Regions from separate parts of the Mus musculus genome. Here all the other regions are reported to be linked to region 1. The links are microRNA targets in miRTarBase. Many come from high-throughput screens and were not tested one by one. Region 1 holds a microRNA gene; each other region holds the end of a gene's coding sequence.

Region 1 (7,116 bases):
CTACTGAAATATTGATTTTTTTTTTAACAGAGCGGCGCGCACACACACTGAAAAAAAAAGAAAAATCAATATTCCAGCTCACACAACAGAACCTGCGGCAGAGCCCGGACCAACTCTGAGGCCCAGAGAGCACCGCTGACAGACCTTGGCAGAGCAGGGGGGTGGGAGGCTCTAGGAGACAATGCCTGGTGGAGCCCCCCACCCCCACACCCGGAAGGGTCAGATAAACACGCAAGTGTGCAAGTGGAAAGATCCCTAAGGATAAACAGTTGGAAGGAGCAAGGATTTATCTTTCCATAGGGGGATGGGGGAGAAGGGACGAGTAAATTAAGAAGACAGGAGGGGAAGAAGTTTCCAGGTAAGAATCTTCCCATGAAAATGTACCTTTCATTTTCCGTATCATCCAGCCACACTTAAGATGGAAAAAAGAAATGATACAGACGTTTTATCACAAAGAAAAACCAGGCCTGTTCTGAGAAATATCTGTGTTTTAAAAGATGCAGCTCGGTGGCCAGAGGCTGTGGTTTTCACCATAACCTGGGCTCTACCTGTACATTGACATTGCTGTCTTCTCTTTGGGGAGGGTGGAGGGAAGGAAGCCATCTAGTCATGTGGCCTCTCATCAATCCCTTTCTTCTACAAAGCACGCCTTCCTTCATGCCCTCCTCCATGCGTGCTTGGGGAACCACTGACAGATCGTGGATATGGACAATTCTGAGCACCTTGAGTTATACCTCCTTCGGATGCAGGAGACCTTGACTCCAGGTTCCACGCTCCACCCCCCCCCCACGCCCTCCACCCCCGTGCCTAATGTCCAGCAGGGGTCAGGACAGACAGACCGACCTTTGGGTTTGTCCCTGTAGGCGGTACAAAAGAAATTGCTATTTTTGATACTTTCAGGTAGCTGTTGGCCTTTTCTTACTTACAGTGGGCAATGGGCAGCTAATTCAAAAGGATGGCTTTTTAACTTTGATGAATTCTTGATTTAGCTTTGTTCTAGAATTCTCTTACCGAGAATTCCTCTCTCAGTTCTTGTAACACTCAGCCCCGGGGGAGGAGCCAAAGTGTCCTCCTCAAGGTTTCCATTTCTCACTCTGCTTAGGTGGCAGCCTCGTCTTCCCCAACCCAGCAGAGACCCAGACCCGAACTGGGCTCTGGCCTGGCCTAGCGGAAGGGGCTGCGGGCAAAGCTGTGTTCAGCGTCTTGCACACGGGCAGGATGGAGACCACGTCTACCCAGCCTGCCCACAAAGGGCTGAACCCAGAGGCCGGGTGGAGCCGGACTAGGAGCCAGGTGACCACCTGGAGTGCCGCACCCCGCCCGGCTCAGGCTCCGCCCCCACCCCGCCCCTCTGCCTGCCGGCTCCGCCCCCTTCCTCCTGGGGCCCCTTCGTCGTTTATTTGCATAAGGAGGCGGTTCCCCGCCCCGCCCAGCGCGCACGTGACCCTGAGGAGGCGGAGGGAACCTGCTGACTTGACACGAGCCGTTTTGCGGCTCCCCTTGGCGCGGAATAGCAAGAGCAGCCGTGACCTCCGACCCCGCCCGCCGGCAGCCAATAAGAGCGCAGGTCGTCTCCAAACCCAAAATTTCCACGTCGGCAAAAGTCAAGATGGAAGGGAGCGGAGCGGAGCGCCCACTGGAAGCCTAGCTCAGCGGCCCGGGGCGCAGAGGGCCGGGCTGCGGCGTGCGGGGGGCCTTTGGGAGGGCGGCCAGGCCAGACAGGCCGATGCAACCCCCGGCCGCAGCTTCGGAGCTCTGGCCCCGCGTTCTGTCGGCCACGCGCACCAACCGGGCAGGATGGGGACTGCGCTCTGCGGACCTGTTGCACGCGCGCAACAGCTGCTTGCGCGCAGTGTGTGGGGAGGCGTGCGGGACCCCGCACGGTGGTCCGGGCTGGATGGGCTAGGGGCGCCGGGCCTGTGTCGTGGACTGCATGCAGATCGGCTGCGGAGGCGCTGCCTCAGCAGGCAGAGGGAAACCGGGAGAGTGGGTGGGTGGCACCGAGGGGCCAGGGCTGCGTGGACGCGGATTCCCAGACTGTGCGCGGGCAGCTGGATAACCGGAGTAGTGTGGTGAGAATGGCTGGGGGAAGGGGAGGCCGCGAAAAGCCTGGCTTTCCCGGGACGTCCCATCTGCGGGGAAACTGGCTTGTGTTCGCCGGCTTTGACTCCCTGCTCCAGGAATTCGTTCTCATGAGGTCCTCCCCGCCCTCACCAACTTTCCAGATGGAAAGGTAAAAAGTTACCGCAACTTAGATTGAGTGAATTAGCTTCTTGCCAAAGTTTAGTAACAGGACCGGAGGAGGTGGGGGCTGGACCGGCAATGGATTCTTGTGTAGAGTAGGTAGGAAGGAGGGGGCATTGTGTGATTCCACTGGTCCGTTTGCTGTGACATTGCCACCAGAGTCTCTTAGGACACCCTTTCTACTGGATTTTTACTCCTGCTGACTGTGGCAGTAATTTTCCATAATTAACTATCCGTACCACTATTGGTCTCATCCTGGACTAAATTGCTTCTAATGAGTTATTCTTCTTTGCCTTCACTGGGGGCGAGGCGGGATGGCAGGGAGCACACCTGCAGGACGAAACTTCCAGAGGAAGACAGCCAGTTTGGTCTTTTGAGACAAAGTTCTGAGACACTCCGACTCTGAGTATGATAGAAGTCAGTGCACTACAGAACTTTGTCTCTAGAGGCTGTGGTCGCCGCCTCCCCGCAAGGGCCCTGGACGCCAAGCTGGTGGCCCTGTTGGCCACGTCGTTGCACCTTTCCTTTGGGGGAAGGGCAGCCCAGAGGGGGCACAAGGGCTTTGTGAAGAACCTGAAAAACTCCTTTAAAGTCAATGGGTTAGATCACATAAAGTAACTACCCCCCCCCATTTTTCTTCTTACCCTGGTGGACTGATTGCATATTTTTCAAGGTTATTTTTAAAATACTAAAATAGTCTGGCTTCACTTATTGAGCAAGGAGAGAAGGACCACAAGTTTATTGATGAGTGTGTTGGTATGTTCAAACTGTACCCTAAGAGAAGGAAATGCACTTGTGCCAAAGCCACAGGTAATGTGCCTTTTACTCAAATGCCCTGTTAGATAAATGAACCTGCAAGGATTGGGTTTGGATTTAGTTTCAGTTCTGAGTTTGATTTAGGCCCATCTCATTTTCCTTTTTTCTTTTCTTTTTTTTTTTTTGGGGGGGGGGTTGTTAATGGAAAGGAAGTACCTTTTCTAAGAAGGCATTTTGACAGTCATTTATGAGGTCAGTGTTTATACTTTGGAGCTGTGAGATACTGTACAGAGAAACTGCTCTCCTGGACCCTAATGGAATGTGGGTTGTGGCTGGCAGTTGCAGTTAATAGTGCGCTCTACAGTGGGCAGTGACTGGCATTGAACTGTATCCTGCTCCCGGGTCATTGCCCTATTTTGATGTTTATGGGTGTGGCTGGAGAGCGAATAGAGTCAAGGGATTACAAAACCGTCATTAACAAAGGCGCTAACCTGACACATGTATGTCAAGCTGTGACACCTAGTGATGAGCAAAAAGGAATGAAGCCTTCTTTGTTGCTTAGGGACAGCTCAGTCCTGGCAACGTTTGTAGAATGCTTCAGAAGCCCCGAGGTCTCCTGGAGTGTGACTCTGGGAAGTCTTGATCTAAAAAATGAAAATCCACCGCCTTTACTTCTGAGCACATTCCTATTGGAGTAGAGATAATGGGGAAGGGCCAATGGGAAAGTATTGGAGGAAGGACTTGCCAGTTGGCGGCACCTGTCTGGACCCCTAGCCAGGCGCTCTTCTGAGATTGTTAGCTACACCCAGTCTCCTTTCTTCCCACCAGTGACTGTTGAGCTTCATTGCTTCAACTCTCTGCCCAAAAGGTAGCTTAATCTTATTTTTGCAGTTGAATAAAGTGATCCAAATTCGGGTTCTTTTTGTTTTCATTTAAGATATAAGGTAAGCTTCCTGGTGAGGAGGGTTTCTTTCCTGATTTTTGTGAATGAATGTGTTCACAAAATACTATGAAACTACTAATTCTCACAATAGGCAGAACCAACTTTGTATGAGAATGCAGTGGCCCTTTGAGCAGATAAGGTGAAGTATCTGGGAGAGTAGCCATCCATGCAAAGGATTAGGTCAGGACTCTACCTTCAAGAAAGAGCCAGGTTTGGAATCCCTCACTTGGGTTCACCTGGTTTGACCTCATTATAAAAATGATTTGGTGAAAACTCTTGCTTTGGCCATGAGCGGGTTAAAGGGCCAGCCAGGAAGGAAGGCTTTGTGGCTTATCCTAGTGGTGTGCATGCTGGGAGTAGGGTCGAGGAAAACCAGCAGGCTGGGTGTGCTCTGAAGCTGGCATACTCCCACTGACTTTAGATATTGAGCAACCAGAGCCTTGTTACCAACTGAGCATCAGGTGTTAGATGCCAGGGTACAGCTGTGAGCAAAATCGGCTGACATCCGGTTCATTCTGGAGTCCATTCTCATGTTAGCGGTTGGCAATGCCACCATCATCAGGAAGGGTGTTAAGCATGACTGGGAAGAGGGAACAGCCTTTGGGGAAGGCTATGTGTTATTTTAACCCAGCTTGCTGAACCAGAGGGTACTGTCACCAGCACCCCAATTTGCATGGCCCAGGGCCTTCTTCATTTCCAGTAAAATAACTGAAGATGCAGCTGAATTGTATGTCATGGACACCAGTTGCCTGTCAGTACTGAACAAGCGTTTTTATTCGCAAATGCAAAGGTTGGCAACTGTGGGCATGGTTCTGGAAGATACCCACAGAGTGAGGAATTAGAGCATTGTGCCACTGGACCTCAGGGTTTTTTGTTGATAAACTCCAGGATTTTGGGTAACCTTGAATTAAAAAAAAAAGTTCTAGAAGCTCCCTGTGTACTCAGATATTCCTTAAGGACTTTTAAACTTACTTTAATTACCTGTCTGTGGGTATATGCACATGATTATTAATGCCCTAGGAGGCCAGAAGCATGGGTTCCCCCTGGACCTGAAATTACAAGCAGTTGTAAATTTCCCAACATGGGTGACAGGAACTGAAAAGAGCAGTGTCTTAGTTAGGATTTCATTGTTGTGAAGAGACACCACAACCAAGGGACAACATTTAATTGGGACCAGCTTACAAGTTCAGAGGTTCAGTCCATTATCATCAAGGCAGGAGCATGGCAGTGTCCAGGCTGGCATGGTGCAGGAGCTGAGAGTTCTACATCTTCATCTGAAGGCTGCTAAGAGAAGACTGGCTTCCAGGCAGCTAGAACTAGGATCTTAAAGCCCCTACCCACAGTGACACACTTCTTCCAACAAGGCCACACCTACCCCAATGAGGCCACACCTTCAAATGATGCCACTCCCTGAGCCAAGTGTATTCAAACCACCACAAGCAGCATGTGCTTTTAGCCACTGAACCATCTCTCCAGCCTCTCAGAAACTCAGTCGTCGGGAGCATAGTGGATACTCTTGTCTTGGGATTTCCAGGAGCCACGGGTGTGTTACCATTAAGTCCGCATGTGATGTTCAGGAAGCATGTGCTTAGCCCTTATTCTGTGACTTAAAGTGTTCTGAGTGGACAGTACATGTGGCATGGACAGGGGTTTCCTTGGGATAAGCACTTCAGACACAGACTGAAGTCTTAATGCAAAAGGGGGCAATGGCAGAACATTGGTCACACTGCTGTAGGTGAGAAGGACTAAAATCCCATATGGCAGCCTTGGAGACTGATGGAGGGAAGATGGGGAGGTTTCTCGCGATTATGATCCACACATTCATTAACTTGATGCTAGGAAAATTAGCAAAGGCTTCCCCGGAGGAAAAAGCCAACGCCAGGATGGCTTCTTTGCTTTGCTACTTAGCGAGTCTCTTGTTGCTCCTTCATAGGAAAATCAACCAGTGTAGCTGCTCAGCACTTAATCTGAGCCTAGCATAACTGTACAGTATTTAATTTGTGGGGAGTACCATTAGAAGCATTCACATGTTAAGTCCTTGTAGTTGATCATTCATGTGACAGACAAGGAAATTGAGGCATAAACAGATTACATAAGTTAACGCAGGCTTGCGGCTAGTCTGGCTGACGTCAGATACAAGCCATGTGTTGGTTTTAATGTCAACTTGCCACATATTGGAGCCTCACGTGAGGAATTGTCCTGGTTGCCTTACATATGGGAAAGTAAAACTTTAAGAATTTCGTTTGTATTTCTGTTGCTGTGATAAAACACTGGCCAAAAGCAGCATGGGAACTGAAAAGGGTTGGTTGGTTTGTTTGTTTGTTTGTTTGTTTGTTTTGATTATAAACTACACTCCACCATCAAAGGAAGCCAAGGCAGGAACAGAAGCAGAAGCCATGGGGCTTACTCTTCCTGGTTTGCTCAGCCACTGGCCCTCTCCCGCCAATCAACAATCAAGAAAATGCCTCCTACAGACATGCCTTCAGGCCAGCCCGATGGAGACAGTTCCTCAGTGCAGGTTCCTTCTTCCCAAGTGTGCCAAACCTGACAACCGAGATCAGCCATCGGAGCCAGCATTCAGAATCATTGTCTGCTCTGAGTAGCCATGCTGTATAGTGTAGTGCAACCAGGACAGTTCCTCACGCGAGGCTCCAGTATGTGGCAAGTTGACATTAAAACCAACACATGGTTTGTAGTGCAGTAGTTCTCAACCTGGGGGTGGGGAGTGTGTGTCAAATGACTTTTTCACAGGGGGCATATGTCACATGTTTACATTATGGTTTATAACAGAAGCAAAATTACAGTTATGAAGTAGCAACAAAAGTACTTTTATGGCTGGGGTTCACCTCGACATGAGGAACTGTATTAAAGGGTCCCAGTGTTAGGAAGGTTGAGAGCTACTGCATGTAGTTGTATTGTTTCTATGCCTAACTACGGTGCTATAAAACCTGGAAGTCTGAATTCAACCTTAACAGTGCTGAGAGCCAGGCATCTGCTCAATGCAAATGTTAGTTTTTTTTCTTTCGTGTGGGAGGTTGTTTTCCAGGGTGGCCATAGCACTACTTTGGAAAGTGTTGTACTATTTTGGATGTACTGCCCACATTACCACTGGGCAGAATTGAATGCTGAGAAAAAAATAGCAATTTCTTCAACAAGTGTCCTGGTTAAAACTG
Region 2 (7,116 bases), not on the chromosome of region 1:
TTCTTACTGTGAATACCACCTGATGTCTCAGGGAAGTTTCAACTGGCCCATTCTCCAAGCACTTGAGGTCACATCTTGTTGTCTGTGCCTCCAGTGGCAGGCACTACTATCCTTCCCTCTCTGCCCATCCCAAGATACCAGTCACTGACACGTGTAGGCTGTAGCCTTAGAACCAACAGCAGGGGATGCCTCCTAGTCCAGCTCCGCTGTTCAAACCCATGTTCACCTAGCAGCCTCTGGGAAGAGAACAGCACTGTGCTGTCATGCTGGAATTTAGCAGAATGCAATTTCTTTGCATCAAGAAATTGACTATGATATGACTTGGGGAAGAGGGGGAGAGTATAAGACACAATGTCATGGTTGTCTGAATGGAGTCATGGGCTCTATGGAAACCTGGACATAATGTTTGGCCTGACTCAGATTCGAGCAAGGACCAGACCTCTGGGGAAATTTCCTAGCTGTATCTAGTGGAATTGGATTAGAATCCCAATAATCAAATGGGAGTGCAGGCTTGACACAGCCTTGTTGGCCCAACTGGAACTGAGTTTATCTCCATTGACAACCTAGCTGCCCACACTGGAAACAGCATGCCATGAGTCCTCCACCATCACCTGCTCTTAGGGTCACTTTTGGTGACCTTACATTTGGCCAGAAGCAGTCAGAGAATAGCAGCTGGAGAGAGAGAGAGAGAGAGAGAGAGAGAGAGAGAGAGAGAGAGAGAGAGAGAGAGAGCCTTTTCTTCCAGTTCTTACAGCTGTGAAAGTGTAGACTTGACACAAGGAGCATAAGAGAGTGAAGTTAGGAGCCAGTTTGTGGGGAAGGGGAAACTTGATCTTCAGTGTACGTAGCACTGTCAAAATACGATCCTGTGTTCGAATCTGATCCCCTAAGTACAACCACACCCAGGTCAAACTGTTTCTGGCCTTGGACAAGCTCTTAGGGCAGATCAACACTCTGGGCCCTATACCTTCCCAATCCCCAGTATTTTCATGAATGTGGATTTCTGACTGTGACTGAAATCAATGCAACACACTGGATCTTGGGGGGGGGGTTAGTAAACTGAAGGTTCTGAGAACGTGGGCTCTGGGGTCAGTAATAAAGACTTCAGGGTGTGTTTACTTGACAAATGTCCTGACCTTCCATGTACACGGAGCAAATTCACTCCACTGGTTCCTCTCACATACTGGGATGCCAGTCCCTGATCTCCAAAGCAAAGCCCTCCTGTGTCTTCCAAGATCTGCCCTCACTCAAACAGGGAAGGTTGCTGTATTTCTTAGTACCATTCATGTAGAGGTGATGACCTTACTAGGAGCCAGGCATATGGCAAAAAGCATATGAAATACGAAGGATGATGCTTTCTTAGCATTTACATGAGGGTTCAATGAGATGACTATCTTAGGGTTTTATTGCTGTGAAGAGACACCATGACCATGGCAACTTTTATAAAGGAAAACATTTCATTGGAGCTGGCTTACAGTTCAGAGGTCTACTCTATTATCGTCATGGAGGGAAGCATGGCAGCACACAGGCAGGCCTGGTGCTAGAGAGGTATCTCAGGGTTCTACATCTGGACCCCCAAGCATCAGGAAGAGACACTGAGTCTGGCTTGAGCTTCTGAAACCTTAAAGCCCGCCCCCAGTGACACACTTGCTCTAACAAGGCCACATCCACTCCAACAAGGCCACACCTCCATTAATGCCTCTCCTTATGATTCTATGGGGGCCATTTTCATTCAGACCTACACAGTAAAACTCCTGTGGTTATTAATAATCTTAGAAAACCTCAAAACAGAGGCTGGGAGGAAATGGGTAAAAGTTGGTGAGAGACCAGCAGTCTCCACACAGACCTGGGAAATCTTAAGTGCACACAAGCTGGCCTCCCTGCACCTACCCACTCAGCCCGGGACCCACACTAAGTCTCTCCTCTTCATTAAAGCACACCCCCTAGTGAAGAGAGTTGGTCACAGAGTATCTCAGCTGTCTTCTAAAGTTAATAGTGTAGAAGAATGTTCTAGAATCTAAAAGATTATGAAAGCCTTTGGTAATCCAAGATTTAATGAAACCAGACTATCTTGAGCACAGGTACAAAGCAGGCAGCCCTGACTACTGGCCATGGGAAACCCCGGGGCATCACTGTGGCACAGGTCATGGCCGACTGGAAGGCTGTTGGTCTGTATGAGTCCTCTGAGACGTTCACATCACATGTCTTAAGTGGTCCTGGCAGTGGGATTACCGAAACAGTTCACACACAAAAGAGCCATCCAAACAGAGAACATTTCCTCATGACAATTTGTTTTAATTAAATACAAACAAGGAGAAAAAAATAACAACAACAACAAAAAACAAGGCACCATGGCCCATTCAAGTATTTTGCATAGATGTACAAATATTGTAAACAATCAATAGGAGGACATGAGAGGGGAGGACTACTTCCTGTGAACAATCTCCCAAATCAAAAGAAAATTCACATTTGCCCTGGATCCCAGACATAGACATATACAGTCATACAAGAGGATACTGGGTGCATGACTTTGGGGTGCTAGGCTCGGATTCTACAGAACCTCTCCCTAGCAGGCTTCCCTGGGACGGGGTACCTTTCCAGTTGGTGTTCCCTGGCTTGTGTGTGGAGGATTCCTTCGGGTCTGTTCATTACATGCATTTGACAAAATAACTAGCCTCCAATTTTAAGAATACAAGTCTCACCTCCACTTTGTCAAATAAGGAAGTGAATTGAGCCCAGGGGAGACACTGAAGGATTATTGCAGTGTTGCAGGGGGGCTATTGCAACAGAAGGAACTGTCGCGTTACAGAGAACACTCCGACACTAGCATCTACAGTGTCTTGGAGCAGGGGTAGAGAGGGGGTATTCTCTTCCTGGTGGAAGTCACCAAGGCTAGAAGGAACAGAAAGCAAGCAAGGAGTTGTAACTTGGACGGTATTAGCCCAGGCTATACCTCTTATAGAGATGGAGAGCTGAGGTTTACAGGTCAGGAATGGCTTTGCAGTTCTAAGGTTGGCAGGCAGCTAATCTAGCTCCAAAAAACATTTACAGCCTAGGCTGGAGGATGTAGCTCAGTTGTAGAGTGTTTGGCTATATACATATGAAGGGCTGTGTTTGAACCCAGGGCCACATAAAGCATGGTAGCACACACCCGCAGTCTGTACTCAGGAGTTCAAAGATCATCCTTGGTAAAGTGACTTAAAGGCCAATCTACGATACATGAGATCCTGTCTTCATTTTTGTTTTTCTAGAGGGTTTTTTTTTTCCTCTGTGTGGCCCTGGCAGTCTTGGAACTTCCTTTTTAGACCAGGCTAGCTTCAAACTCGAGATTCACCTGCCTATGCTGGGACTAAAGATGTATACCACTAAACGCAGCTACAAACCTTCCCTCAGCCCACCAGAGCCTTGGCTTTGACCTATTCTAACATCTTCTGACGTCTCTCTTCAGTGGCTGGGAACAGAGGTGCCTTAAACAGTTCTTGTTCTTGCTCACATTGTATGCATAAGAAAAGCGCTTTCATTCAGTCTTGGATGCCCTCACAGACTTGGTGTAGGAAGACCAAAGTGTTCTGTTGCAACTGCCCCTCCTCCTCATGTGGTAATATTCTTTCATCTCCTAAGTGACAATCCTGTGAGACAAACCCTGTCCTTGAAGTCTAGATACACCTGTATGGGACCCTTCACAAAGCAGATGGGAAGGGATTCCTGCCTGTGACAGCCTAGCTGGCCTCTGGAAACAAAGCCTTGAGTGAAGTTGTGTGTAGAGCAGCTGCCGACATTTCTACCAAGTTTAAAAAAACCCCGTCCTCTTACACTTCACAGTATAATGTCATGGGATGGAGGTGGTAGCAAAGTAATGAAAAAGAAAAAAACAGAAGTGATTACCAAAGAGCAAGGAAATGGGTCTTTTTCTGATATGGTTCAAGGGACAGAAAGTGGAGGGTTTCTAACTTTGTGGTGAGAATCGGGGTGGCCTGTAGTCACCGGCCACTTGGTAAAGCACACAAAAGAGAAACTGATATAGGACATGGACTGAGGCCTCAGAGAGTGTGAAGAGCACGGTCACCCTGAAAAGGAGAAAGGTGCTTTCCTGAGATCTTTCTACCCCAGGCCACGTCTGTCATAGCTCCCACATGTCTACAATCCCAAAGCTTACTCTGGGAAGAGATATAAGGAGGCCTCAGGTGGTAAAGGGGAAGTCAAACGCTTGCCTCTTCCTCTGGAGGGTTCCAAGAGCTAACAACTGCTTGCTGTTGGGGCGGGGAGGCCCCTAGAGAGCCCTCTGCAGTGCCATTAGCACCTTTCTGGGGGTGGAAGATGGCCTCTCAGAGGCCAGGCCCAGCAAATGTGTAAGAACTGTTCCAAATAGCGGAGCACCAAGCAAGAGAAGGTCCACCCCATCCCATTCCCACCTTCTCAGCATTTTCCATGACGATCACCTCGGGGCAGCAACCAGGAGAGACCCGATGAGGTGCGTGATAAAACTCTGGTTGAATAGAGTTTGGGGAACCCTGCCCAGATCTGGTTCACCATGGCTGTTGACATCGATCTGTTCAGAGTCACCAGTCCCCCCTCAGAGCTGACCACTAGGGCGGGGCTGGTGGCCCTGTGTATACAATACTATAGCCAGGATGCCAAACATGTCAGCCCCCCTCAGTACAACTGTGGCTGTCCTGGGGAACCTTACTTAGATATGAGTCAGAAATAAGGAGGAGGTCCCTTATTCTGCTTGAGGCCGTAAAACACAAGTACATGCAGAGCTGTCGGCCTGCCTGCATGTCTGTCTCTCTCATTGCCTCTGTCTCTTTCACACACACACACACACACACACACACACACACACACACACACACACACACATACACGCCCACTCGGCTCAACGCTCTTGAGATCCAGTGCAGAAAGTCCAGTGGCGACCCCATATGGCAGGATCCCGATTTGTAGGTCACCAGCATATGGTCATCAGCAAGTCAGGACTGCCATAGTTCACCACCAAAGCACCATAGGATAGGGATGCTGGAAAAGGAGAAGGTGACACATGGAACACTGGGGATGGATGAATGGATGGATGGATGGATGGATGGATGGATGGATGGGGATTCTAAATGTCCTTAGTGACCTTTGGCATAACGGCTCAGAGGGGACACAGGTTGACCACCCCACCCCCCTGCTGTCTATGCTACTTACAAATAGTACCTGTCTGAGTCAGAGTGACCCGTGTAAATATGGGAGTGGGAATGTGAAGAAAGGCAGGGGAGGGGAGCATGGCTTATCACATGCAGCCAGAGAGCCAGGAACAGGCACCTTGACCAAGCCCCTTGGGGTAGGGATGTAGCAGTAGCTTCCTCAGCAGCCTGGGATCCCAGAAGGAGGCCAATCAGTGACACTCGCGTGTGTTCCTGCCAGCATAGGACCAGGATGGGTACCTTCTCCAAGCTCCGCAGAGGAGGACCCCAGCTCAAGCCTTCCCTGAGCATCGCTGGTAGCTCTTGGCTAGTGGGCTGAGGGAGAACCTTTCCCACCCTCCTCGCCGTGCTTCCCTTCCCTCCCTGGGCTGTATATTGCACAGGACAAACACTTAGGAGCCATTGGATATGAGTCCCCCTGGGCCTCGGAGGAAGCAGGAGGCACTCGGGTAAGAAGGGAGATTCTGGGGATGAGGGACGTTCCAGAAGGCTGCCAAAGCTTCAGGATGGGTGAGAAGGCGTCTTTCTTCTGGACCTTCCATGGCATCCGGAGTCTTCCATCGGAACAAGAAACTTCTCGACACTTCTAGATCTTGGAGCTAATTATTGCTCCAACCCTCTGTGATCGGTACTCGGGTAGCTGGAAAGGAAAAAAAAAAAACAAAAACAAAAAACGATGTGACCTCAGTGCTGGTCAGTGGGACTGTGGGCAAGTGTCCTCTTGCTCAGAAGTCTGTCCCCGCGGCTGCATTCCAGGGCCATTGGCCCTTGTAGTGAGAGCAATTGTGTGGCCACCCCCAAAGCTGGAAACTTAGCCCCTCCCCTCTTCCATCAAGTTTCAGTACATCTAGTTCCCTAGTGCTTCAGGGGATACGGGCTGGCAACCAGCTTTCTTGCCTCACCCCTTCTGACCCAACTCCCCAGACTAAGCCGAGGACATGGCAGGCAGAGAGAAGCGTTAAGGAAAGGGACATATGTTGACAGGCTTGTATAAACTAATGGCCTTCAGAGCAATGTCATGGAGCTGGTCCCTGCTGCTTCTCTGGCCTTTTTAAAAATTACCTTGAACCACCTTGCCGGCCAATCTTAAGCCTTCTTATCAAGAGATAAGGATTTACTCAAGGTGGCCTATCTGTTCAGGTGCCATCAAAGCCACCAGAGCTTAGGCTTCTGTGTGACGCTTTCATTCTCAAGGAAATTCAAACCTCCCTTTGCTCATGTAAGGTACAGCCAAATAGACCTCCAAGCGAGGCTACGTGTTCATTTCTGCTTCTGTTCTAGAACCTAGCGTGGGGCACGGGACTGCCTTCTCAGCCACACACTTCCTCTCTGGTCCTTCTGGGTCCTTCTGTGGACTCACCTTTGGAACAGGCACTGCTGGAGGCCTGGGGGGCTGAGGACCAGAAGTAGGGGGCTGAAGCAGGGAGGTGCCTCCTGACCTGGGACCGGTCCTTTGGCCTGGCACCGGATTGGCTGGGAGTGCCTTCTGAGGTGGTCGAGGCCTGGAGAAGTCCTGGAGGAAGCAAGAAGTCTGACTTGAGGGTCTCCCTTCAAAAGAAAGTATGCCTAGTATCTTCTGGGTCACAGCCAAAATAACTTACGTACCGGATTGTTCCATTTCTAAAGGACTCTCCTATGCGGGGGTCTACTTTATAATGTAGTCACATGCTAAGAAAAAAATAAGACCTTTTTGGAAAACAAGTTGGCTGTCTATTAAAATTAGAGCTATGGGCATGGCATGATAAGGCACACTTTTAATTCCAGCCCTCAGGAGGTAGAAGCAGGTGGGTCTGTGAATTCAAAACCCTGTCCCAAAATTTAACCAAAAAAAAAAAAAAAAAAAAAAAGAAGAAGAAAATGTCTTTTCCTGGTGTGAAAAATCCCACTTCTGTTTGACCATGTTAGAGAGCTGCAGAAGGCTGGTTTGCAA
Region 3 (7,107 bases), not on the chromosome of region 1:
TAGGAGGGAAGACAGAGAAGAGGTGGTGGTTGAGGGCAAAGAGGTTCCTGAGCTGATGACAGAACAGAAGAGATTAGCAGGCTATCAACACGTGGGATGTATTGAGATGGCTCCATGGCACACTTTTGAAAGATAAAAGTGACTTGCTGGCGTGGAGCAGAGTCTGGCCGAATGTCCCTATCTCAGCGGGCCATTTTGCACTTCCTCTCTCCCGAGCTTAGTCACACCTGGACCTTGGCTGAAGTTTCCACAGCATCGACGTGACCCGGGTGGGGTGGGGGTGGGGAAGTATGGGTGGTGGTTCGTGGGATGTTGGCTTTGACCTTTTCTTCCCTCCTCCCCTCGTCCCCTCCTCCCCCAGACCGTGTTCTCTGAGATGCGCCAAGAGTGCAAATGCCACGGGATGTCCGGCTCCTGCACGGTGCGCACGTGTTGGATGCGGCTGCCCACGCTGCGCGCTGTGGGCGACGTGCTGCGCGACCGCTTCGACGGCGCCTCCCGCGTCCTTTACGGCAACCGAGGCAGCAACCGCGCCTCGCGGGCGGAGCTGCTGCGCCTGGAGCCCGAAGACCCCGCGCACAAGCCTCCCTCCCCTCACGACCTCGTCTACTTCGAGAAATCGCCCAACTTCTGCACGTACAGTGGCCGCCTGGGCACAGCTGGCACAGCTGGACGAGCTTGCAACAGCTCGTCTCCCGCGCTGGACGGCTGTGAGCTGCTGTGCTGTGGCCGAGGCCACCGCACGCGCACGCAGCGCGTCACGGAGCGCTGCAACTGCACCTTCCACTGGTGCTGCCACGTCAGCTGCCGCAACTGCACGCACACGCGCGTTCTGCACGAGTGTCTATGAGGTGCCGCGCCTCCGGGAACGGGAACGCTCTCTTCCAGTTCTCAGACACACTCGCTGGTCCTGATGTTTGCCCACCCTACCGCGTCCAGCCACAGTCCCAGGGTTCATAGCGATCCATCTCTCCCACCTCCTACCTGGGGACTCCTGAAACCACTTGCCTGAGTCGGCTCGAACCCTTTTGCCATCCTGAGGGCCCTGACCCAGCCTACCTCCCTCCCTCTTTGAGGGAGACTCCTTTTGCACTGCCCCCCAATTTGGCCAGAGGGTGAGAGAAAGATTCTTCTTCTGGGGTGGGGGTGGGGAGGTCAACTCTTGAAGGTGTTGCGGTTCCTGATGTATTTTGCGCTGTGACCTCTTTGGGTATTATCACCTTTCCTTGTCTCTCGGGTCCCTATAGGTCCCTTGAGTTCTCTAACCAGCACCTCTGGGCTTCAAGGCCTTTCCCCTCCCACCTGTAGCTGAAGAGTTTCCGAGTTGAAAGGGCACGGAAAGCTAAGTGGGAAAGGAGGTTGCTGGACCCAGCAGCAAAACCCTACATTCTCCTTGTCTCTGCCTCGGAGCCATTGAACAGCTGTGAACCATGCCTCCCTCAGCCTCCTCCCACCCCTTCCTGTCCTGCCTCCTCATCACTGTGTAAATAATTTGCACCGAAATGTGGCCGCAGAGCCACGCGTTCGGTTATGTAAATAAAACTATTTATTGTGCTGGGTTCCAGCCTGGGTTGCAGAGACCACCCTCACCCCACCTCACTGCTCCTCTGTTCTGCTCGCCAGTCCTTTTGTTATCCGACCTTTTTTCTCTTTTACCCAGCTTCTCATAGGCGCCCTTGCCCACCGGATCAGTATTTCCTTCCACTGTAGCTATTAGTGGCTCCTCGCCCCCACCAATGTAGTATCTTCCTCTGAGGAATAAAATATCTATTTTTATCAACGACTCTGGTCCTTGAATCCAGAACACAGCATGGCTTCCAACGTCCTCTTCCCTTCCAATGGACTTGCTTCTCTTCTCATAGCCAAACAAAAGAGATAGAGTTGTTGAAGATCTCTTTTCCAGGGCCTGAGCAAGGACCCTGAGATCCTGACCCTTGGATGACCCTAAATGAGACCAACTAGGGATCCAGGTCTCCTGAGAGAAAAGCCTGCTCAAAAGCTCCTGCAGGGCTCTTCCTCCTGTTCTGGCAGCAGCTGGTTAAGTGATGAGGACAAGTGTGTCACCTGATGGGGACTCAGCACACCAACAGTCCAGCTCTCCTAGTGCAAGAGCTGGGGAGGTAGCAGCAATGAAAGGAAAGGATAGCCATGACTACATCCTGAGAGGGGGGGGGGGAAGCTCAAGCAGAAAGGGTGTCATTGCCCCTGGGAGGCTATCAACCTTTTCTGCAGTCTGAGCTTTGAGCAGTGGAAGGCCCACCTCTTACACTCTTCCTGGAAATTCTTTATTAGCAACCCAACCCTAACCTACAGGTAAGGGACATCCAGGAACAAGCCATGGGTTAGAGCTGGAAAGATGGCTCAGAGGTTAAGAGCACTGGCTGCTCTTCTAGAAGTCCTGAGTTCAATTCCCAGCAACCACATGGTGACTCACAACCATCTGTTAATGGGATCTGGTGCACTCTTCTGGTGTGTCTGAAGACAGCTATGGTGTGCTCATATAAATAATAATAAAGAAATGATATTAAAGAAAAGCCATGGGTTAACAGTGGGCCCTAAACTTGAACTAGAAAACTTAAAGATGCTCATAGGGAAGAAGAAAAGAGCAGAAAGCTTAGCTTCTAGACAGGGGTAAGGCTTAGAGCTCAATAAAAAAGGAACCCCAAGAGTGATTGGTCCACAATCAAAGCAGTAAGCTAACCACACCCACAAAGAGCCAGAATGAGGATTCCTTATGACCTGCAGGCTACCTCTGTGCTTGCAGTCACCAGTCAGCAGGAAAGGAATCCTTCTCAGAGTACTCAACCTGACGCCAGTCATTTCTTCCTCCCTTCCTTGTCCAACCAGAGCCTTAGCCCTGACTCAGGGAACACTAACCCTTTCCAATACCTGACCTTCATCATAGCCCCTTCCCACCAGAGAGGACCCGAAAGGCATTGACAGAAGCTACAGAGGACCCCCGCCTTCCCAAGAGCCATAACCAGTCTCAATCAGCTCAGAGAGTTTCTTCTTCTTCCCAGGATCCTTTGCTGCAGGCTATCACCTCTGGGGAAGGGGGGGGGGAAGAGGTGGGGGGGGAGGGGTGAACTCTGACCCCTGTTGGTTTTTTGACTCTGTGAGTGGGTAGAGAAGTAGATTCAGGGCCTGCTCAAGCCATTTCCTTGCCTTTCTCTCCACTGGCAAAGCTAGCACTGGGTCAGTTCTGATGAGTGGATCCAACCTGGGATACTGGATGTCTGGATGTCTAAAAGGTTCTGGGTCTCCAGTGATGATCATCCAGAAGAGCCTACTCAGTCCTAACCCAAGCTGAGCTATCAGCCCCTCAGCGCTCCCAAAGTATGAAGCCATTGGGCTGTCCCAGGGCACAAATGTGTGTGTGTCTGTGTGTGTGTCTGTGTGTGCATGCCTGCACATGCTGTGTTGCACGTGTGTGCCTGTGTGTATGTGTGCATGCACGCATGTGCACATGCACGCTTGTGTGTGTGTGTATGTGTGTATGTGTGTGTGCATGTGCACGTGTGTGCACGCATGTGCGAGAGTGTGTACGCGTGGGCTGCTGTAACTCAATGTATCAGGGAGAAGCAGCAGAATGGAGGAACCAAACCATCGCCGACCAATCTCACCCAAATCCTAACCCAGGAACCTGGAAACTAGTGTGCTGAGCAGAGGTGTCTTTCAGGAGTTGGAAAGAGAGCACCACCACCCCCTTTTGCCCAGGTATTTGACACATCTTTTGTCTTCAGTCTTCTCAGTCCCATTTGCCTTGCTTGACCCTTAATTGAGAATATTCAAATATCCATCTTTGTTGTCGCTTAAGGAGGGGATAGGCTTCAAATGACATAGTGTCTGTGACAGCTTGGGTTGTGTGGACGGCTACTGATACCTTTTCTGTACTAGCCTCTGTCAAATGCTGGCAGTGCAGCAATCTACAAGCCAGAGGTCCAGCCAGGACTCAACCAGGCCAACAAACACTAACAGGCATAGAGGGAAAGACCCTCGGTGTGCAGGAAAGGCTTCAGCACCCTTCTCTTCCAGGGGCTGGAACTTGGAAGAAGTGTGCCATGGGAAAATGCAGAACAAAGCCAGGGCCCAACACAACATGCACAAATAAAAGGAAACACTTCAGATAAAAGTGCTGGAAATGTGTGGCGTGATGGTAGAGCACGTGTAAGGACGAGATGGGTTGGATCCCCAGCCGTGTGTGTGTGTGTGTGTGTGTGTGTGTGTGTGTGTGTGTGTGTGAAGGGGCTGTGGGGTCTACAAGTGTTGCCTAGGAGCTGAGGACTCTTTTGTCCCTATTACCTGTGTTATCTGCGCTGCCCTCTCAACTGGATCAGTAGATCAGTAAGGAAGGGGGGGGGGAGGTGCGTACCTAGAAAGAGTCTCAGGGCTCAGAACACAAGGCGCTGTCCATAAGATAATGAATGTCATCAGAAATATGCCTGACGCACCTTCCTGAGGCTTCCACCCACTCCTGATCTTTAGATGCCATGCAAATACACACCACACCGGGGACAGGGACCCTGGTCACAGAGCTGACCTCAGTCAGAGCTGTTGCGGGGACTGAGTCCTGAAATATCCCAGGGGTGGCGGAAAAGCTGAGAGGACCAAGACAGCCAGCGGGGCTGCACGGTCCCTGGGGGGTCAGCACCGAACACCCTGACACTGGCATCTCGGAAAAACCCTGTCAGTGGTAACTGCAAATACCAGAGGGTCCAACCCCCCCTTCCCTACGGCCCCAGGCAGGCTCAGTCCTTGGCTCCAGGGAAGAAAATAAGCTGTCTGGCTGTGGTGTGAGCAGGAACATCCGTGCAGAGCTGCCCACCAACTCACCCTTACTCAGTCTTTCCACACCATGCCAGGGCCGGGCATGAGACAGACCACCCCCTTACCCCCTCCCCCGTCTGGGCTAAAAGCAGACACACTGGGTTGGTGAGAGAGCAGCAGGTTATAAATATGCCCAAGGAACTGCCGCCAACTCGCTCCCCTGTCATCCCCTGGGAGGGGGTAGGGTGGGGTGACACCTAAGGAGGAGCCAGGGCTGCCCTATTCAGTGAGGCCCAGAGAGAAGTGGAGCCTCCAACCAGCTGCTGAAATATTTATTGATTTTTTTTCCTTTACCTTTCCCAGGTGAATGTGCCACCTTTGACGTGTGCCCTGGACTTTTGTCTACCCCACCCTCCCTGGTATATGGCCTTATGTCCAGCGTGAAAGGGCTCAAAGCCCTGGGCCATTTCCTTACACCCTCAAGAAAATAGCAGACTTTTTAATTCACTCACTGAGTGGACATAGTGAGGTGCGCATGCGCACCTGCAGCCCCGGCGCATGCACACCCTACTCCTGGGTGATCGTACCAGCTCCAGCCTCTGTTCTGCACGCTGTGCCTTCAACCTGGCAACCTCCCAGGGGAAGGGAAGGGAAGGGAAGAGAAGGGAAGGGAAGGGAAGGGAAGGGAAGGGAAGGGAAGGGAAGGGAAGGGAAGGGAAGGGAAGGGAAGGGAAGGGAAGGGAAGGGAAGGGAAGGGAAGGGAAGGGAAGGGTGCTATCCAGCACTAGTACTGTGCAGAGTAGGTTATATGAGAGGCTGAGAATAAGACCCCTGAATATGCTTCCCCCTTTGCTTTGCCTGGTGGATAAGTTCTTTCTCTTCCTCTCCTCCTAACCATCTTCCGCGTGAGTGACTGCTGTGTACCAACACGTAGGAAGGGACAACCATTCTGTGGGATGCTGAGGGTATGAACCAGGCTACTAGAGAATCCTGACTCCCAGACACTTGCTAAGTAGGTGCCCATCTAAGGCAAAAGGGGCAGCCCTCCTCTTCCAGGGCTGAGCCCCTCCCTTCTCCATCCTCCCTATTAATCCTCGGAAGTGAAGGGGCCGTCCCTGGCGGCCCTTCAGCCCTATTGTGGCCCCTCGCCCTCCTCGGCTGGCGTCTAATTAACTCCTCCTGCCCCTGGTTTTGTGTGCCCCCCTTACTCCACCTTGTCGGCCCCGCCCCTCCGCTCGGTCCGCTCCCCCCGACGGACATTCCAGTCAGGCCGGGCCAGTGTGCCAGGGCAACCAGGGCCAGACCGAGGCCTAATCCCCCCTCCACCCGGCCGGGCTCAGGGAGCCCCACTCACCTCCCGGCTCTCTAGGGGCTGCTCGGCTCTGCTGTGGCGGAGACACACAATCAGGACAAAGGCGCAGCCCCCAGGGGGCTAACTCAGCCTTCACGCCCAGGTTGTGCGGCATTTGGGGAGTTTAATGAATTGTCCATCACGCCTTTCAGGGCCCGCCCGTCAGCCTGGATTAATCTTCGGAGCCCTGGTGGGGCAGGAGACACTAAGCCTGTATTTATTACTCTCCCATTGTCACTAATTGAGGTAATTATCTGTGACTCTGGCCTGGCCAACAATGCTGCATTCACTCCTGGGACCTCGATGGGCCTGGCTCCCACTCTCAGCACCAACCCTCCCTCCCTTCCTCTCTAAAACGCGCCAAGGGCCAAGATGGGCCCTGGAGCATGTTGGGAAAGTGGACAACGTTCCACAATGTTCCACGTTCACGTAGTGTCTCCCAAAGCCTCCTCCACTATGGAGCAGTGTTGAGGAGAAACCTGGGTCTCCTAAAGTTGGTGAGAGAAGAGGGCACACAGGCTTGACCCGCAGAAACCCCAGGCCACAGCCAGCCTGGCATGCTTCATTCCTGGGTAAATGGCACTAAAGTCTCACGGGGCCTTTCACATGTCCCTGTAGCCTACAGGACTCTGGAGTGCTAGAGGGCACATACTATTCCCTGCTAGATGAGAGGTTCTGGAAGCAGAAGCTACCAGAGTTGCCAGAGCGGCAAAGTTGGAGAAAGTTAACAAGAACAGGATAGGGCGCAACAGGGAGCAGAAGGGCAGGATGCAGAAGCATCCTAGGAAGAAGCAACCCAAAGTCAGAGCATTCCCCAGGGATCACACCAATGTGACCATCAATTAGTGCCATGCAGCAAGCTGGAGAAAAACCCAATTTAGAGTAGATGTCATATGAAGATGGCCTTCTGGGTCAAGGGAATATTCCTGGAGAACGTGTGTGTGTGTGTGTGTGTGTGTGTGTGTGTGTGTGTGTGTGTGTAATGCATG
Region 4 (7,116 bases), not on the chromosome of region 1:
AGTAACAGCAGTTTTCTACCTGTGAGTCGTGACCCCTGTGGGAGTTGAACAACCCTTACGCAGGGGTTGCCTCAGGCCATTAGAAAATACAGGTATTGGGGCTGGAGAGATGGCTCAGTGGTTAAGAGTACTGACTGCTCTTCCAGAGGTTATGAGTTCAATTCCCAGCATCCACATGGTGGCCTACAACCATCCGAGGTGGGGTCTGACGCCCTCTTCTGGTGTGCCTGAAGACAGCTACAGTGTATTCATAAGCATAAATAAATCTTTTTAAAAAAGAAGAAAATATAGGTATTTACATTACGATTCATAACTGTGCCAAAATTAGTTATGAAGATGCAACAAAAAGAACTTTATGGCTGCAGGTCACGGCACCATGGGGAACTGCGCATAGAGTCTCAGCATGAGGAGGGCTGAGAACCTCTGAGATAGCAGGAAGTGTTTAGTGACCTGGGCCCTGTGACCATGAGCTCAAGGCGGGTACTCTCTGCGGGGTCACATCTCCTACCTTTGCCTGCTTCTCATTCTACCGGTTCCTCCTTCTTCATGTGTTCATGTGTGTGCATGTGTGTGCACGTGTGTGCAAGTGGTGCATGTGGAGGCAGAGGACAACATCAGGTGTCATTCCTCTGGTGCCATCTTTTGAGCATGGGTCTCTTACTGGACCCATGGGGCTTGCTGATCGGACTGGTCTCCGGTATCCGATAAGACCCAGGGGTCCTGTCTCTGCCTCCCTCCCTTGTGCTGCGGTTATAGGCACACACCATCATGCTACACTTTTCCAGTGAGTGCTGGCTCTTGAACTCTGGTCCTCATAGTTCATTACTCAGAAAACACTACCTACGGAGACAGCATGTGGGATGGCTGTTTCTGGTTGTCAACTTGACCACATCTGGAATGAACTACAATCCAGAAATGGAGGGCACACCTGTGATCCAGATCTTGAGGCTGGGAGACTGGGAGACACAGGCTTCTGACCCGGATCTTGACACAGGATGACATAGGCTTTTTTTTTTTTTTTTTTTTTTTTAATCTGGATCAGAGTAGCCATGGAAAGCTTAGGCCCAGGCAAGGTGGTGCATGCCTTTAATCCCAGGAGACAGAGACAAGCAGATCTCTGAGTTCAAGGCCAGCCTGGGACAGAGCAAGTTCCAAGTAAAGAACAGCTTAGGTGCAGGCGTGGTGGTACATGCCTGTAATCTGGGCCGTAGCTTCTGCTGGAAGCCCACATAGGATAATGGAAGAAGGAAGGCTTCTTCCATGCTGCTCTTGCTTACTTGCCAGCACATCTGTCGTCGAGAAGACCAGCTGAAACACCCAGCCTCCTGGGACTGAGCAACAACTAGATCCTTGGACTTCCCATTCACAGTTGCCCATTGTTGGGTTAGTTGGACTGCAGACTGTAAGTCATTCCAATAGCTTCCTTTAATATATAAAGACACAAGTTCTGTGGCTCTGAAGAACCCTGACTAATACAGCATGTCTGCGGGGAATTATTTTTCTTGCCCCGGAAGATGTAGGAAGACCCAGCCTGAGAGTGAGCGGTACCATTCTCTGGTTTGGGCCCTGGGTTGTCTAAGATTATTAAATGTGCATGCGTTCCTTACTCTGCTCTTCACTGTGGATGTGGTATCATCATCTGCTTTGAGGTTTTGCAACTGTTTCTTCAGACGATGGACTATATGTAGCCTGCATTGGTAAGTTAAAGCAAACCTTTTTCCTCAGCTGCTTTTTGTTGTGTTTTGAGACACCATGTAGCCCTGGCTTGCCTGAAACTCTCTCTGAAGACTTGAGCTCTCAGAGATCTGCCTGCCTCTACCACCCAAGCTCAGGGATTAGAGGTGTGAGCCACCAGGCTCAGCCTCTAAATTGCTTTTTGTCAGGACATTTTATTTCAGCTACAGAGATGAAACTAGGTTACAGGCGCATGCTGGGCTGGTCCCTGGAACGCACCGTCCCAGAAGGAAATGACTTAGAGCTCTGCTGGGGAATCTGTGGGCACAAGAAGTCATCCTGTCATGTGTCCACTGGGTAAGGGCAGGAAGAGGCCACCAAGCATGGGGGACATCGTGGAGCAGCCAGCTGCCTTTCCTGCAGGGAGAAGGTTAGAGATAGCTTGGGAGACAGTGGAAAGCACCAGGTCAGGGGAGCCGGGCATGCCACATCCAGAGACTGGATACGTGGACCCTACGTGGCTGTGCAGGCCTGAGATCCCAGCAGTGAGAAGCCGAAGTTCAGACTCATGGTCTAGATGGAGTTGGGGTGCTGCAGGAGAAGAAGACAGGAGCTGGCGTTCAGAGTGAGGCTGGCAGTCAGGTCAGGCAGGAGGGATGGATGGAAAGGAAAGGTATGGCTGTCAGTGTGAATGGAGTGTTGTGGAGGGCCAGAGAGGGTCCTGGAGAGTCAGGGAGGGCCGAGGGGGTGTCACAGAGGCTCATGCAAGATTGCAGCGTGTCACAGAGGTCAGGGAGGGTGGGAAACACTGCGTATGAGAACCAATTGCTAAAGGTAAAAGGCTCTGACAGGAGAGGGCTGTGACTTCAGGGCTACAGACTGAAACTGGCCTGGGACTTAAGGACAGAAGTTAGACAAGGTGGTGGTGGTGGTGGTGGTGGTGGTAGGGTTTGCTGCAGCCAATCATAGCAGGTACCTGCACCTTCTCTTTTGGCAAAGCCTAAGTATGTGGCCAGTGACTATAACCTTAAAAGAGGGTTCTCCAAGTCTCAGCCACTCCCAGGCCAGCCTGACTGGCCTCACTCACCCCTCCCACATCAGTGTGGAGCCAGCTCAGCAAACACGGGGAGAAAATGACCGATTCCTTTAATTTAAAACAGCAAGAGGTCGGGCTTTCACCGAGAGTTAACATCACACTTCCAAAAAATCTCATGCCAGGTTTAATTATACCACAACTGTGAGTTCACACAAACATTTGCAGAGAGGGCTGGAGAGCTAGCTCAACAGATAAGAGCGTTGCTGTTCCTGCAAAGGACCCAGGCTTAGTTCCCTTTGCCCAGAGTTCACAGCTATGACTCCAGATTCAGGGGATCAGAGTCCCTCTGGCCTCTAAGGGAACTGCGTACACACAAAATACCCGTACACATACAAACAAACACATATGGTCTCATTTGTACTTTGGACACATAATAGTTTTTATTTTTATTTTCAGAGAGAGAAGCAGAGAGAGAGACAGACAGACAGAGAGGCAGAGAGAGAAAGAGACACACATAGAGAGAGAAAGAGAGAGAGAGAGAGAGAGAGAGAGAGAGAGAGAGAGAGAGAGAGAGAGACAGAGAGACAGAGAGACAGAGAGAACAAACTAAAAAGCCGGCTCGGGGTGGCATAGGCCTGTAATCCCAGAAACAGTAAAACTGCTTAAGGCCTGCCTGGACAAGTAGTGAGAACCCTGATTCTTTTTTAAAAAAAAAATTAACGATTTATTTATTTATTATATATAAGTACACTGTATCTGTCCTCAGACACACCAGAAGAGGGCATCAGATCTCATTACAAATGGTTGTGAGCCACCATGTGGTTGCTGGAATTTGAACTCAGGACCTTCGGAAGAGCAGTCAGTGCTCTTAGCCGCTGAGCCATCTCTCCAGCCTGAGAACCCTGTTTCGAAACTTAAAAAACAAAACAAAAAAAAAAAATGAAGAGAGATAAATGCTAGAGCATAATATCTCACGCACACACACATTCTCTCCCTCTCTCTCTCCCTCTCTCCCTCTCTCCCTCTCTCTCTCTCTGCCTCAGAAAGTCAAAGGCAGGAAGCAGCTGGCAACGGATTTGCAGAACAAGATTCACAAAGTGTACCAGGCGGTGGTGACACACGTCTTTAATCCCAGCACTCAGGAGGCAGAGGCAGGCGGATTTCTGAGTTCGAGGCCAGCCTGGTCTACAGAGTGAGTTCCAGGACAGCCAGGGCTATACAGAGAAACCCTGTCTCGGAAAAAAAAAATTCATAAAGTGCTTAAGAAGGGTGTGGGGGCTGTAGCACCCATTAAGGCTGAGGTCACATTTGGGTGACAGAGGAACACGGACAGACAGATATTAATGACACTTCCTAGTAGAGATAGGAACCCACGAGGCTGAGCAAAGCAAAGGGGAGCTGGTCCTCACCGGTGCTAAGGCCCCTCCTGGCCCCAAGGATTCTTCTATTCCTCTTCAGCTCTGAACCCTGGCTGCCTAGAAGACCCACTTGGCCACCGGCTGAGCTAAGGTTGATGTCTGTGAGCACGTAGGGCTAGAGGTCAGGCACCGGGCCTCGGGTCACCACCAGCCACCTTCGGTGACAGGGCAGCATGGGAAACAGATGGAAAGAGCCAAGTGTAGACTTTGTAGGGGGTTTTACGGACAGCAATCCTGGCCAGTGGCATCAGAGAAAACTTGGGTAAGCCCCAGGCTCCAGGAGCAGGGCTTTCGGATGCCCCCTGCCTGCCTTTCCTTGAACAAAGCCCCAAACAGCCAGGGTTTCACACTGCTCTGTCCAGCTGGGTTTATCCAACATCATTTCCTCCGTAGTATTTGGTGGTTTATTTTCTCCCCTCCAGGAGACAAATTCCTAGAATTTCTGTTCCATTTTAGAAGCCAGGAGATCCATTACCGCTGCGCTACACGCTGACAGTGCACACATTGGCTGTAATATCTTCACAGGATCTCAGGACACCCTACACAGACTGGTTTTGTAAGCAGACAGAGTACCAAGCCAAGGAGCTTTCTTAGACTCCCAAAAGGGAACCCACCTCTTGTAGAGTTTCCTAAAGAAATGCTTTAGGAAGCCAGAAGAGGAGCATACAGACACAGCCCTCTGCGCGACTATTCCTTTCCTGATAGAGATGGGCGCTGATGCCCCGTGTGACTCTGCTTCCATCTTGAGCCAGGCTCTGAGCATCCTCTCGGTTTTGTGAGGGTATTGACAGAATCCAAGGGCGCTACCTCACCTTGACTGCAAGGTGGCGGGCACACTTCCCACACCGAGAGCCTGCACGTCGGCACACACTGCTTTCTGAAATGAGGGATGTGTGGGTGGAAGAGCCACTGAGCAGATCTCAGTTAAGCCCCGCTCTGGCCAGGCTTGCTAGCCAAAGGCGACAATTCTAGCTTCCTGGGAAGTTGAGGTAGGAAAATCTTAAGTTCAAGACCAGCCTGGTCGACTGAGAGTTGAAGGCCAGTCTAGGCAACTTAGTAAGATTATGTCTCAAAAAAAAGGGAGTGGGGAGGGGCATGGGATTGAACTCAGTGGCGGAGCACCTGCCTAACAGGCACAACACAACACAACATTTTTTTAAAAATGTAACTATCAGGAGGCAGAGGCAGGTGGATCTCTGTGAGTTGGAGGCCAGCCTGATCTACATAACAAGTTCCAGGCCAGCATGTCCACATGAGACCCTGTCTCAAAAAAACAAAATAAAATGTAATCATCTCAGAATCCTATTTCTATATCCCCCAGATAACTACAAAACACAAAGGCCTTTTAAGTATTTGGGGTGCTAGGACCAACCTGGAAACTACACGGAGCTACAGGCCAGCCCGAGGCTGACTCTTCAAACATTCACCTTCAGGGTGGAATCAGATCCATTCACTGGTCACCTTTCCTAAGCAAAGTGCAGAGCCAGACCCCCTCCCCCTGTATGAGTCACCGTGAGGAGAGGGCTCTGTGAGAACAGTAGGTGAACTGGTAATTGTCCATAGGGGCTGGAGCTGAGCTGCCTTCTGTCCTGGTACCTGGAGGGAACGAGGATGTTAAGTGATTGACTAATGGACAGGACTCTGGACTCTGGCCTGTGCTGAAATTCAGATGTAATAAACACTGAGGGGCGATGACCCACGCAGAGATTCCGTGAGATGCCCATGAGTGTGTGCCCGGGTGGTTTTCATCAATGATGGCAGTCTCCTGTGACTTCCGTGGACTTGGGACCTAGTTTAAGGATATTACCCTCAGCTGACCAGCACTGCTAATTACCCCCAGGGTCTCTAGGGATTCTCAACGCCCTGGCAAGCCCGGACTCCATACTGCGATGTCTGGGATCCAAGATGGTGTTCATTATTATTCAGTCAAGCCTGGGATGGGTCCACAGGTACGGATCCCTCCAACTGTAAACAACGTTGGTGGCCGGGGACACTGAGAACCAATGCCCTGGCGGTATCCCGCATAGCTGAGTCTCACGGTCTTTGTGCTTACACAAACAAACCCCACTGAACCAGGACATGAGTGTGCAAGGAACACACTGCCTGCCTGCAAGTCTGGGAGGTAGAAGAGTCCATACTGATGGCTGTCCCTCCACTGGGCTCCGATCTTCACTTTAGGCCAGGCTGACAGCATGCTTGGTCTCCTAATCCTGAAGCAGGAACCAGGAAGGCAGCGCCAGTACGGACAGGGAGGAAAGCCAACCGCTCAAGTGCTGGGCACTTCTGGGGTCCGTCTGGATTCCTGAGATTCTCCTATCTTGGGGGGCGTAGGAGCCCCCGGAGGGCTCTGGGTGGAGGGCCGAGGACAGCAGCAGCAAAGAGAAAAGAGCCTTGTGCGGACTGCCCGGGTACAGAGGACGAACATGATGCAGTTGGCCCCTCCCTGGAAGGTGTTTCCAATGCCCTGTAGGGGATGGGGAAGAGGCGTAAATACAAGGTTGCGGTGTCTTAGAAACGCAATCATGGGGAGTTGGTGGGCTCCTGTGAATCCCATGACTTTTCCTGTTCCTGCCTCTAAAATGTCGTGGGATGAGCTCAGACACGTGGCCTTAACCAGAGCTCTCAACAGGTCAAAACTGGCCACCCAGCCCACCTGCAGTTAGGCCTTCTGCGTTGAGAAGAACCCGGGATCAGACAGAGGACTGTGCTAGGGAGGGCTTCTCTAGGTTGCTGAGGACAAGTGGACACTCCAAGCCACGCCTGCTTTGGGACAGGAATGGGATGGTGAGCTACCCCGCTTCCCATCCTGGCTAACACATTGGGACCTGAGATGCGCCTGTAGGGAGGGGATCTGGCCGTGCCACCGTAGGGTAGCAGGGCCCACGGAAACAGACATACATGCAGAACAACCAGCACGGGTGTCTGTACAGCCGGGGAACCACAGAGCGTCAGGACAAAGCGCACGGTGCTCCAGACGCGGAGGCAGAT

The links. The annotated mature microRNA mmu-miR-148a-3p reads UCAGUGCACUACAGAACUUUGU and lies in region 1 at 2,663-2,684, shown strand. An mRNA with a match to its seed (bases 2 to 7 or 8) in the 3' UTR can be bound and repressed. Matches are read on the target gene's strand: a 7mer-m8 pairs with bases 2 to 8, a 7mer-A1 pairs with bases 2 to 7 and ends in A, and an 8mer does both.
Region 2: miRTarBase lists Adam19 as a target of mmu-miR-148a-3p. Seed matches in the 3' UTR shown: 7mer-m8 at 4,894-4,900.
Region 3: the mRNA of Wnt1 is a reported target of mmu-miR-148a-3p. Seed matches in the 3' UTR shown: 7mer-m8 at 1,089-1,095.
Region 4: miRTarBase lists Gpr157 as a target of mmu-miR-148a-3p. Seed matches in the 3' UTR shown: 7mer-m8 at 4,622-4,628 and 7mer-A1 at 3,570-3,576.

Annotation. Positions count from the first base shown.
Region 1 is chr6:51,265,397-51,272,512 of GRCm38, reverse strand. It overlaps Mir148a (microRNA 148a), which reads left to right and starts at 2,603; the gene lies at 2,603-2,701. Gm38821 reads left to right here. Exons shown (of 4, transcript XM_011241556.1): 2 at 1,103-1,306; 3 at 1,561-2,233.
Region 2 is chr11:46,142,502-46,149,617 of GRCm38, reverse strand. Adam19 (a disintegrin and metallopeptidase domain 19 (meltrin beta)) reads right to left here. Exons shown (of 23, transcript NM_009616.4): 22 at 6,547-6,699; 23 at 2,271-5,826. The coding sequence ends at 5,773. It overlaps Nipal4 (NIPA-like domain containing 4), which reads left to right. Exons shown (of 6, transcript NM_172524.3): 6 at 1-1,463. Among named protein-coding and RNA genes, the nearest start is that of Gm35624, 20 kb to the left of the region's middle.
Region 3 is chr15:98,792,055-98,799,161 of GRCm38, forward strand. It overlaps Wnt1 (wingless-type MMTV integration site family, member 1), which reads left to right. Exons shown (of 4, transcript NM_021279.4): 4 at 362-1,776. The coding sequence ends at 850. Among named protein-coding and RNA genes, the nearest start is that of Wnt1, 5.8 kb to the left of the region's middle.
Region 4 is chr4:150,101,688-150,108,803 of GRCm38, reverse strand. Gpr157 (G protein-coupled receptor 157) reads right to left here. Exons shown (of 4, transcript NM_177366.3): 3 at 7,027-7,116; 4 at 2,877-6,592. The coding sequence ends at 6,395. Among named protein-coding and RNA genes, the nearest start is that of Slc2a5, 14 kb to the left of the region's middle.